Linked DNA regions of Cricetulus griseus. The protein of the gene in region 1 interacts with the protein of each later gene in a pairwise test. Links are inferred from orthologs where the notes say so. Each region holds a gene or a part of one and is shown in the gene's direction. Other genes may lie near its edges.

Region 1 (4,053 bases):
TGGATGGATGGATGGATGGATGGATGGATGGAGTAATGACAACATGAAAGAGATCCTTGCTACATCACCAAGGAGATGTAAATGTGATATTTATAGTTTTATCTCATCCCTACAGTGTTTTTGCCTAATTCCAGTTGCAAGAAATAACTGGCATCACACAAGAGAATGAGTTCTAGGCCTTAGCTAGCATTTAGATTAAGAATTCTAATGCAAATCCCTAGTAACAACCCTCTCTTTCAAGCTAGGCACAAAAATTTAGACCATTTTATCAGGCATAAGAGAATCTGGACCCACACGGGAGTGGCTTCTCTAATCTCTAGCTTTCTTCTTCTTGCATAGTCACCACACCGTTTTTTACCTGGTGGGTTTGCCTTGGCAGATAGCATGATGCCTGATGGAATTAAGCTTCACCATGAAACTCTTTAGGTGCTCTATGCCATTGTTGTCGTCTAGGAAATCAGGTTGTGTGGCCAAGTACCCTATTAAGGGTCCATGGGGACAGTGAAGCAGAACTGGCTCAGCATTGCTCCACTCTGGAAGGATGTCCCTGTGCATCAGTACACAGCCTTGCACAACTGGCTTGAGTAGTCATGTGGCTACTCATCATTGTCCTGAGTGGCAGCCTGGCCAAGATGCTTTTCCTATTTGCTTCTATATTTCATTTTCTCCATCGTTGCTTGTGCTTGGTCTTCTAGGTGAAGGATGAGGAAGGGGCGGTGTCTTAGGCATTGGTACCTGCATGTCAGCAATAAGAGTTTGTTGTCAGTTGAGTTGAAATCACGGGGCAATCTGGTGTCTTGTTTTTTCTGGGAGGTGTGGTGTACCTCATTATTACTCTGCTTTTTTGTCTCATGTTATGAAGTTCAGTGGCAGGGCTCTGAAGTAGAGCTGACATTTGCTCTTAAGATTGCAAAGCATCTTGCCAAAAAAGGCTTTATTTTGTTGTTAGTTATAAAACAATCTGGTGTTGACTCTTTATAAATATCATAAACTCCTGAACCAAGTATGTATTACTTTTCTTTGGGGGCCAGTACCATAGAGGAAATACCAGGCAGCAGCTAAATGCCACATGGGATTTCCATCAAATATTTGCTGCCTTTGTAGCATCAAGTAGGGGATGTTTGAGTGACCTGGATCTAGGTTCTGCTCAAGAGCAAGGACAGAATGGTGGTGGTCTTAGGTGGTGGACTTAGGACTCTGGTGAGCACTGTACTGACATTCAGAGGTCCTGGGTGACATCCAATGGATCTAAGGTTGGCTTTGTGGAGCAGGACCTGTCACTGACAGACAGACTTGGCTCCCTGACAAACTACTGAAAGCATGGGTTATTCCCCTCCTCCTCATTACCCACGCTCCGCCTCCCTTCTCTTGTTTAGACTAATCTTTAAAAGTGATGTAACTTAAAACAGTCCAGTGTGAGTTAATCTGCAGGGCCAGCTAGTATCCTAGGAGTAGAGGTGACTAAGATCTTTTACCTACAGATTAGAATAATGACAAGATCAAACACTGGGGTTTCTTGCCGACAGGTACATGGGAACAATGTTCAAGGCAGGCTAACGGAACGGGCTTTTCCCCTTCCTCTTCAGGCCTTGTTGAGGAGAACCATGGCTGAACAACTCCTTCCTCAGGCTTTGTACTTGAGCAATATGAGGAAAGCTGTGAAGATAAGAGAGAGAACTCCAGAAGATATTTTCAAACCTACCAATGGGATCATTCATCATTTTAAAACCATGCACCGATACACACTGGAGATGTTCAGAATGTGTCAGTTTTGCCCACAGTTTCGGGAGACCATCCACAAGGCACTCATTGACAGAAGCGTCCAGGCTTCCTTGGAAAACCAGAAGAAGCTCAATTGGTGTCGAGAAGTCCGGAAGCTCGTGGCTCTGAAAACCAATGGTAAGGCTTGTTCTTTTCTCCCAGCACCCTTCTACTGACCTGGGGGCGGGGGGGGGGGAGGTGTTTCTGCTAATGCTTCTCCATGAAGTTTTAATGCCATTAAGCAGACACCTATAGAAAGACCCTCCATAAGGGAAAGGTGATGGTCATGAATGTATTTGAGTCTGCTGCTGGGACAGGATTTCATTGTATAACTCAGGCTGGTTTTGGACTTGTGATCTTTCTGCTTCCAACTTCCGAGTGCTGGAATGGCAAGTGTGCATCTTTATATCCAGTTGGTGAATATTTCTATTTAAGGTGTTTTTAAGGTGTTTTCTGAGAGAGAGAGGGAGAGAGAGAGAGAGAGAGGGAGAGAGAGAAAGAGAGAGAGAGAGAGAGAAAGAGAGAGAGAGAGAGAGAGAGAGAGAGAGAGAGAGAGAGAGAGTTACAGTATAGAGGACATGAAGACTTGTGGAATGCATTTCTAAACCCCATTGCCCCAGTTGGGAGATTAATCTTCCTAATGCTTACATTGGCCAAATCATCTATAACCTTCACTGGCCAGAATGGAAAGGATTTAAAAGGTTTTAAGTTCAAAAGGAAAGTAGAACACTGAGAACCAGTGTCACAGTTGTTTGCCGCTGTCATTAGAAAAAACGCTTATGATGCTCTTGCTCTTCCTGAGTTGATGGCATTTTCTAGACTTGCAAACAAGTGGGTGTTAAGGACAGGGGATGCTTTTGTTTCTACTTCTCTCACCTAGGTTCTGTTGCCTAAGATAATGAGAGACAGAACTTCTCTACACACTGCTCTTGGCATTCAATCAACTGAAGTCCTTTACCTCTGATAACTCTTTTCTATGTCAAGTTTTACTGTCTTGTATTTTTTTTCCAAATCACATCCTTTGAGAAAGATTATGTACATGGTGCAGAAACAGCCAATGATATTGTTTCATGCAGTTACAGAAATTCTGCCTTTAGGGCATAGACATTTATTATAAGAATGGAGATTGTGTGAGATCAATTAAATACTTACAGTGTTGGTAAGAGTACAATCTCATTTTCTTGTATCAGTAACTGCATTCTGTGGGTCAAAATAATACATCCAAGAGGAGAAAATCCCTGTTGGCAATGATGGTGCTAGGAACGTTAACTTAATAACTTAATTGGTACATTAACTTCGGCTGTTCTTGACTTGAGTAACTTGGTGATGGGTTGATGTGGGCTTTTGTTTGTTTTGATTCCGGGGACTCTTGTATATCACCTCTACATCTTCCCTATATTTATGAAGCTTAGACTCTTAGAAATAGAGTCAAAAGAAAACTGGAGACAGTGATTATCTACATTGTTCTTGGCATTAAGTCAAGTGATGCCTCGAAGTAGATAATTATGTTAACTTGTCATCAAGGGGCTTATATACCTGACAGTTTGTGGTTTTCACCATGTCCCATTCTGTTACCGAAAGAGAGATGGAGTTGAGAGAATTAGAAATGGGATAGAGAAAGAAAAGCCTTATCTTGCTTACCATTCAGAATACTAGCAGACATTATATAGTATTTCCTTAACAGAGGAAATATCTGATTTCCTGGAGGAGAAAAAAAGCAATATAAATGCTAAACATTTCCTTTGCCATTTAAATCAAAAAGGGTTCATGCTACTGCTAAAACTACAAAAGCAAAGGCATTTTGGTAACATGTTGGGAAAATGTGGATTTGGGGTCCCAGAATCCTAAATTTTCTGCTTTGAAGAAAAGTTCTTAAAGTTATGCAAAAGAAAGAAAAGACCTTTGGGCGGGGGTGGGGGTGGGGTGGTGGTGGCAAGTGGCTTTCTTAGCATCTTTTCTTTCCTTTTACAAACCTGGCCCCTTTGGAAGGTTCCTTCACAGGCGGTCTATTTGGGGAGGGGGTGATTCAGGAGTCTGCATTTGAGGATATGAGACTGTGGTGAATGAGGAAGGGAGTAGGTGGCATAAAATTGAAACTTCATGAAAATTCCAGCGTCTATTGGCTGTGGCAATTTCACTTGTATAGTGAGTAGCCGGGTTCCAGCTCAGCCTGACCACACCCACTTGGAAAGTCCAGGGTGCAGTTCGCAGTTTAAATGTCTACACACCAGAACAAAACGTACAACAACTGTTGCTCAATTGCTAGTCAAATATCTTCGCACTGGGGAATTC
Region 2 (3,956 bases), on another chromosome or scaffold:
TCGATGCTGCAAATGGGCTCTCCCTCTCTCTCTCCCTCCCTCCCTCCCTCCCTCCCTCCCTCCCTCCCTCCCTCTCTCTCTCTCTCTCTCTCTCTCTCTCTCTCTCTCTCTCTCTCACACACACACACACACACACACAAGTACTAATTACTCCAGGGCATTTTCCCATGGTTGCACTAAAATGCAGGGTGGGAAGCCTCAAAAGACCTCAGTTTCATACTATTATTAACATTGTGGTTTTAACCCATTTCCTTTGTGGGTTTTGCTAGAGCAGCATAGGAAGAAATAGAAGACTTGGTTAATCATGATGTGGAAGCGAAAATAATTTAAATTTAAATTTCTAAATTTACTTTGACCTACATAGATTACCTTTCTCTGTTAAATGTTCAGTTTCAATTGGAACCCCACATAAGCAAGTGTATTCTATCCGGATTCATAATGTTCCTGTGTGGGAATATTATTTACCTTACCTCATGAATACAGTACCCACAGCATTCATAAATACTTCTTTAAAACCCACAATGCTGAACCCAAAGTACTGCTCTCTCCCTTTGGAATACTTTTGCTAAATAACTTTTGCTTCAACTGCCTATGTCTCAACAGATTGTTTCCTTTTGGAGGACAAGCATGGAGAGGCCCCTGTAAAATTCCTGCCGTCAGTGATTTCAATACATAAGAAACAAATGAGTCAGCAAATATTAAGGCCCTTTCTCATGGAGGCCAAGTGGACTTGAATTATGTGGAAAATGAACATGAAGGCAGATTTTATGTGTTGTTGCTGTAATGTTTAATCTGTTACCTCTTCTTCGCTGGTGATGCTGTAAGTGTCATCAGTTTTATGGCAACACAGGAACGTGATGGTTGAGCCCCTGGTCTCTCCAATAGTTCTTGGGGGTTCTCTAGACATTTAAACAGATGTATTGACACAAACTGATATTTAAGACCCAGGTCGCCTCTGGGCGATCCTTCCCACCTCGCCGGCAAGTTAATTAACTTGTCTTAAGCGGCCTGTGTTTTGGGGTAACTACTACATCACTGAGCGAAAGCCCCAGAAGACAAGCAAGCTGTCAGGAGGAAATCCACCAAGAACTCCCCTCCGCCCCCCCCGCAGCGGGCGAATAGGGCGTGTCGTCACGGAGCATGCGCAGAGACGGTGGCGGAAACGGGCGTTCCTAGGGCGGAAGTGACGCGACGCCGGCTTGGGGCTCAGAGGCGGAGTTGCCGGTCCGTGGTGGCGGAGCTCCGGGGCTCCGGAGCGCGGCGGAGCGCGGCGGGCGGAGGCCCTGACGGGTGAGGCCTGCGTCTGGGCCGCGTGCCTGGCGGGGGGCCCGGCGCTCGCGCCCCGTCTCGGCCCTGGAACCTGGGCCTGGCGCGTGTTGGTACCGTCTCCGTGGTGACGGAGCGCTCCTTCCCAAGGACAGGTTTCCCCGGGCCGCGATTGTGACGTGTGCGTGGGCCCGAGTGGCCAGGAGACGGGGAGGCGCGGCGGAGGCGGGCGAGCTAGGCCGCGGCGAACCGGGGTCTGCCGGGCAGGAGGCCGGTGGGGAGCGCCCAGGGTGGCCGACGCCAGGCCGCGGCGAGCCGGGGAGGACCCAGCCGGAGCCTGGACGCACTGTTTTGGTTTGAGTGGCTTCTGGAGGAAGAGGCGGGGACGCCCTGCTCCGCCTCGTTCTGTGTTTACGCGTTTTGGCCTGATCTCTGGCTTCACCTGGGCGAAGAGATTAATTAAGTCTTGGGGTTTGGAAAGCCGCCCTCCCCACAGATAAGGCTTTACGAAATCTTGGGCAGGGTGACTTCGCTCTTAGGCTGTCTGGACTGCTTTCACGGCTCCGCCTCCCTCTCCCGACCCCTGGGCGACGCTGCCCTGTGTTTGGACAGGTACGAAGGTGGTGCCGGGCAGGTCTGTGCTGTTAGGACTTAGCTGGCGTGGACGCCTGTATTTCTCTACTGAGAAATACGAAGGACAGTTTGTTCCTCAAGAGTTTTGTTGGAAAACGCGGTGGCATTTGACTGCGATACATTTCCGGCTCTAGAGCTGCAAGTTAGTAGTGTGTTAGAAACTTAGGTGGAAAAGTTTTCATCGCTGCTTCCCGCCAGCGGTGAAATTTCGTGATCAGTACAGGAACAGATACTAATTAATCTTTTAGGGTTCAACCCAAGAACATTTGAAAAAGATTATTTGAATAACATTTGTTAAAGTGGGCTGGTTGTGGGCTTAGGAGCTTTAAGGTGCTCTCCAGGTGTGGAGACGAGGCTGAGGCCAAGCGCTGGCCTCCATTCTGATCTCTGTGTCCTTCCCGAATGTTAGGGTTACAGGCAAACAGCACCACCTTGGACTTATAAGTTATATGATTTCTACAAGAATATATTTGACTATGCTGGAAATGACTTGTTAACTACTACCCCCACCCTGCCCATCCTCTGTTAAATTTCAAACAAAGTCGTTTTCAAATTGTTACATTAGTTGCATACTGTTTGCTTTTACGATTGTAGCCATGTATGTGAAATTTAACCAGTGAATGCATTTTCTAGGACAAAATAACATCCTTGCATTATTAGTTGCAATTTTTAAAGAGTGCTGTTTAAAAATAATTATTTAGGCTTATTTTATGAGTGTTTTGCCTGCATCTGTATATGTGCATCATGTGTATGCCTGGTGGCCACAAGTCAGAAGAGGGTGTCAGATCCCCCTGGACTAGAGTGATGGATGGTTGTGAACTACCATGTAGGTGCTGGGCACCGAACCAGGGTCCTCTGCAAGAGCAAAAAGTGCTCTTTACTGAGCCATCTCTCCAGCCCCTAGGATGCTAAGTTTTTATGCTTGATCCTATCTATACATTTTTATTTATATACATTTGCACTATACAGGTAAGGAATTATCTGTAAAGTTTATTTTGACTTATATATTGCCAAGGTCTCACTGTGTAGTCCTCGCTGTCCAGGAACTCTTCATGTAGACCAGGCTGGCCTTGAACTCAGATCAGCCTGCCTCTACTGGCCTTCTGAGTGTTGGTATTGAAGGTGTTTGCCATCAAGCCCAGCCTCACCTGTAAGGTTTATTAGATTGTTTTCTTTTGGAATGTCTGTTAGTATCTAAAATTTGGGCTTTATGTACTTATGACTCTAAAGTTTACACTTTTCAATGAGCCTTCAAAATTACAAATTTCCTGTTCTATATACCTGTGGGCCAAGAGCATAGTATTTTAGAAACGAATTTATGAAAAGTTAAATCAGGCCTGATGTTTTATCACCTGGGATTCTAGCGCTTGGGAGGCTTAGTTGGATGTGTGTGTGAGTGTGTGTGTGTGTGTGTGTGTGTGTGTGTGTGTATGTGTGTATGTGTGTATGTGTATGTGTATGTGTGTGGGCGGGGTGTCATATGCTTGAGGCCAGCCTGGACTATAGTACATAGAGCCTTTCTCAACAGAGAAAACAAGTACAACTGGGTGGCAGCTGGGCAGAATGTAGGAATACTCAGCTGTGAAAGCACTGGAGATAAAGATGTCTTCAGCAATGCAAATTAACAAGGTCTTTGTTTCAGCCTCCTAGAAAGTTGACTGATAACATCTTTCTGAGAGTATGGTATTCTACAAACTAGGCAAAGGAGCTGAAGAATGAGTAAGGGAACTACCAGGCTATTTTTATCCCCATGAAGATGTATGTATGTATGTATGTATGTATGTATGTATGTATGTATGTTATTTTTGAGACAGGGTCTTGCTATGTATGTAGCCTTGGCTGTCTGGAAGTTAACTATGTAGGCCAGGCCTCCTAAAACTCAGATCTGCCTGCCTCTATTTCCCAAGTGCTGGAAATAGGTCCTATTTTTGTAACTGAAGATTTTTAAAAACATTGGCTGTCAACCATTATCTTAATTATGGTACTTTGCAAGGGTACAAAGTGTTCATGCAGTGTTTTCTGTTGAAGACACACAGACACGGGGCTTTTTATTGCCA
Region 3 (4,034 bases), on another chromosome or scaffold:
AATCTCAAACTGTTTATAAATACTGAGAAAGTACATTGGGAGAATAGGGAGCTCCATAAATGAATTGGGGTGCTGACAACCACTAAGGGCAGCTTCTGGGGAGTTCTGATAGTCTTACTCATAGAACTATATGCCTGAGTCTGTAGTTCTGGACACACAGAATGGCAATGAAAAAAGATCACTTGGCATTTGGTGGGGGCAGGGCTCTGAGTCAAGTGGTGAATTATAAATCTATCATTAAGCTACGTAAGGGAGAAATGACAAAGGTCTATTTGTTCTTTCTCCGAAGAACTGTAAGCTTCAAGACAGCAGGGCAACCGTCTGTCTTGTCCCTTGCTGTATTTTCCAGCGTTCAGAAAGCTGCCACACAGAATTTGTGAAAAGTGAAGGAGTGGTGATAGAGGTATTTTGAAGGGCTAGATTTAAGGGTCAACGGGAGTATTAACAATCTCAAGTAACAGTGAAAACCGTCTGGAGAGCCCCGGATTCCTGTCTTTGAGGCTTTCCTATAAATGATACTTGGGGACCAGGGAATCTCAGTGAAGAATGCATATACAGAGGGTGGTTTTGTTTTTTGTTTTTTGTTTTTCTTAAGACCTTGAGAGTGTTCTGTTCCTGACACTTCACGTAGCTTCCTGGGTCTAGGAGAGGAACAGTAAGTACCTTTTAGGCCTGAAATAGGAATTACTGAAAAAGTAGGGCTGAGCCATTTCTGTTCTCCTTTGGTTACAAGCATTCCCTTAGCGCACAGCTAACAGGACTGAGGGCCTCCGATTCCGTGAGGATTATTTTCAGGGTGGGGTGGGAACATATGACCCCCGAACCTGGACCAAGAACGCTCCGAGCTTCCGAACCCTCCCTCCGGGAGCCCGCCCTGTTCTCACACATCCCAGCCTTCGGGCGGTCACCTCAGCTCCGCCCTCTCTCCTTTCTCCTCTTCCTGCTCCCCACCCCACTTCCTTTCCCCGCGTCCGCCCCCACCTCGCTCCCACCCAGGCCCTGCGCCCTCCCACGACCGCTCCCTCTAGGCTCTCCGTGACTTCCCCTCCTCCGGCTATCACCGCCCTTTTCGGGAGGACGGGGCAACCCCGTGCCTCGCTCACCCAATGAGGAGCCGGCTCAGGGTGGGGCGGGACTTGGGCTAGAGCGGAAGTGGTGGCCGGAGCGGAAGTGCAGCTGCCGCCACCGCCGCCGCCGCCGCCGATTCCTGAGCCGGGTAGCCGCTGCCGCCGCCGCCACTGCAGCTCCGGTCGCCGCCACCGCCGCTGCCGCCGCTGCTGCCGCCGTCTGAGGAGTGGGCCTGGGGAAGACGCAGTCGCCGCCCTCCGAGCTTCCCGGAAGCGCCTTTGCTCGCTACAGTCCTCCACGGTGAGTGCGGCGCGGCTCCCAGGGGCCCCAGCGCGGAGCCCCTTCTCGGGCGGCGGCCGCGGCCCGTCTCGCCACCGCCCCTCCCCGCTTCCGGCCGGGCCTGCGCCTCCGCGGGAAGCCCGGGCTTCTCTCTCGGCGGGCCGCACGGGGTGCGGCTGGGGACGGCTGGGCCGCGGGCTCCCCTCGGCACCTCCTCTGCTCGGCGCCGCCCCTGCCTGCTCCCCCCGGGCCCGGAGCCTTCCCTCTGGGCCTGTCAACCTCGCTCCTTTGTGGCTTTCAAAAACTGAAAGGTAGCGGAAGGCGAGCGAGTCCCTGCTGCACTCCCCTGGATGAGCAAGGGTTTAACCTTGGCGACAGCTGGGGCGAATCCCTCTCCCACTCTGCAGTAGAGCTGTTTCATCATCGCCGGTGTGGGAAACCCGGCTGGACCCGAGATTCTCTTGACAGCGGGGTTGAGGTTTGAATCAAGAAATGGATTTGTGGGAATCGTTTTACTGACTCAAACCGGATTCCCAAAGGGGTGGGGGGAGATCAGGCTGAGAATTGAGGCTTCTCATGATATTTGTCGTCATTTACTGCCTTAATCTCGTGTGTCTGCGCCCCAAATTCCTCCAAACACCTTTTTTTTTTTTTTTTGGCTTATTTTGTGTTTTACTGCTTGGAATTTGTCTGTTAGTGGGGAAGGAGTGGGCGGGATGTGGACCCTTTCTTTCCAAGATGAGCGCATCTGGGTCTATTGCAAATGGAGAACCTGCGTGCAGGGCGGATTCCAAAGGTGGCAGCCTTGCTGAGAATTTGCCAGTCTCTCTGTAAAATAAGTCTTGTCCTTGCCTTCAGTACATTCCCTTTGGTGAGACCAGATAGTATTCCACTCTTGCTTTTACTTGTCTGATGTGGGAGGGGCAATCTGTAAGATGTTATGAGTCTGTAATGTCACAGGAGCCAATGCAGAAAGCTGCAACACTAAGGAGAATGTGAAAATTACATTTCTCACCATATCTCAAGTGTTTCTGTGAAACCACACATAACAGTTTATAGGCCTGAACACGAGGTTACTCAGCGTTTTACATTTAGCTGCTGGGAATTTATAGAATATTAACTTGATTTTTTGGTGGATTTCTTCTTGACTGCCTCCATCCAGCGGACCTCATTTCTTAGGGTTGTCCGAGGTTTTTTCTTTTTCTTTTTTATTCATATATTTTTTTTTTTAAAGATCGACGGCCATGGCAGCATACAGATGGAGAATATTGGGTTGTTGTTGTTGTTGTTTTTCTTTCTTTCTTCATCCAAGTTAGAATTTTAAGCATGACCTTAGAAATCGAAGACTGAAAATCCACTACCAACTGCTGAATTATTTTCCTAACCTCTGCCTTCAAACATGATAAGAAACCATTCACCCATCTTACAAATGAAGTCTTCATGAGAAATGAGGTGATTTGGCCTAAACCACACACCTACTTTCAGACTGAATATGCTCTTTCATCTATGGCAAGTATTTATGGACTGCCAGCCCCTGGAGTATGGCTCTTACCCTGTTAATCTTCTGTACGTTTCCCATGATGCAGTGCTTGTGTTACGTTGAAGCCATTTTAGACTTGGAGCTGTATGGATCAGGGAGGCAGCCTGTGTGAAACCAGGCCGAGCATATTCCCTTGGTGCTTGTTCCCTAGGCAAGGGTCTCCAGAGATTTGGGTTGCTGCAAAAAGTGCATTTTTCCCACTTGGCTGTGGATCCAAAAACAGCACTGAAGATGACGTTAGGTAAATTTGATTCAGTTCTTTCTCTGTACTGTTTTCTGGCAGTGATCATCAGAAGTTAATTATCTCTGCTTCTTAGTTTCCCTATCTCCACAGTTATAAACTGTAAGTTGTTAAGTATAAACCTTTGATTTTGTTGTATTTTAATGGTTGAGTTCACATTCTTCTTTCTCCCTTTCTGATAAGACACAGTCTTGTTCTGTCCACTTGCTATTGAAAAATGATATATTATGTAACTGTACATGTAGCAAGTCCAGTTTTTCTCATCTGGACCATACATATGATAACGGTATTCCCTCTTTCCCACCTTTATGCTGTGTAGCCCTGCCTAATCTCAAACTCACTGCTTTAGGCTTCTTCTGACTCTTAGGTGCTGGGATTACAGGTAAGCACCTCTGTGCTGGGCTGGCAACATAACTTTTGATGTGTGGTGGCAGACTGAATCAAAATAAGCTTCTGGACCGGGTGGTCTACAGGAGCTTGTTCCAGGACAGCCTCCAAAGCCACAGAGAAACCCTGTCTCAAAAAACAAAAGCAAAACTAAACAAAAAAGCTTCTGGAATGTAGATTTTCTTAATACAAATAAAATTATTTTAAAAAAATAATTGAATATAAATGAATATATGCCACGGTGTTTAAATATGTAAAATAGTTGTATAAGTTGTGGGATCTTTAAATAGCCTATCTCCTCAGACATGATTTTTTTGGTTTTTCAAGACAGAGTTTCTCTGTATAACAGCCCTGGAACACACTGTAGACCAGGCTGGCCTGGAACTCATAGAGATCTGCCTGCCTCTGCTTCCCGAATGCTGGGATTAAAGATGTGCACCACCACTGCCTGGCCAGACATGATTTCTTTTTGTTGACGAATAAAGTCTTTTCTTCTAGCCCATTGAGAAATACAGACAC

What was found. The genes of interacting proteins can lie anywhere in the genome.
Region 2: the proteins of Tnfaip3 (region 1) and Tax1bp1 interact in binary tests that used the Homo sapiens proteins (3 or more experiments, as listed by UniProt). The link is inferred for Cricetulus griseus from reciprocal best matches to the Homo sapiens genes TNFAIP3 and TAX1BP1.
Region 3: the proteins of Tnfaip3 (region 1) and Ywhab interact in a two-hybrid assay, tested with the Homo sapiens proteins (2 studies listed by BioGRID). The link is inferred for Cricetulus griseus from reciprocal best matches to the Homo sapiens genes TNFAIP3 and YWHAB.

The regions. Positions count from the first base shown.
Region 1 is NC_048595.1:270,723,891-270,727,943, forward strand, and holds the start of Tnfaip3 (tumor necrosis factor alpha-induced protein 3), read left to right. Parts: upstream 1-1,253; 5' UTR 1,254-1,490; coding exon 1,491-1,899; intron 1,900-4,053. UniProt on the Homo sapiens protein: Ubiquitin-editing enzyme that contains both ubiquitin ligase and deubiquitinase activities.
Region 2 is NC_048601.1:88,623,842-88,627,797, reverse strand, and holds the start of Tax1bp1 (tax1-binding protein 1), read left to right. Parts: upstream 1-1,156; 5' UTR 1,157-1,290; intron 1,291-1,726; exon of another isoform or gene 1,727-1,878; intron 1,879-3,956.
Region 3 is NC_048599.1:15,522,307-15,526,340, reverse strand, and holds the start of Ywhab (14-3-3 protein beta/alpha), read left to right. Parts: upstream 1-1,234; 5' UTR 1,235-1,368; intron 1,369-4,034. UniProt on the Homo sapiens protein: Adapter protein implicated in the regulation of a large spectrum of both general and specialized signaling pathways. Binds to a large number of partners, usually by recognition of a phosphoserine or phosphothreonine motif.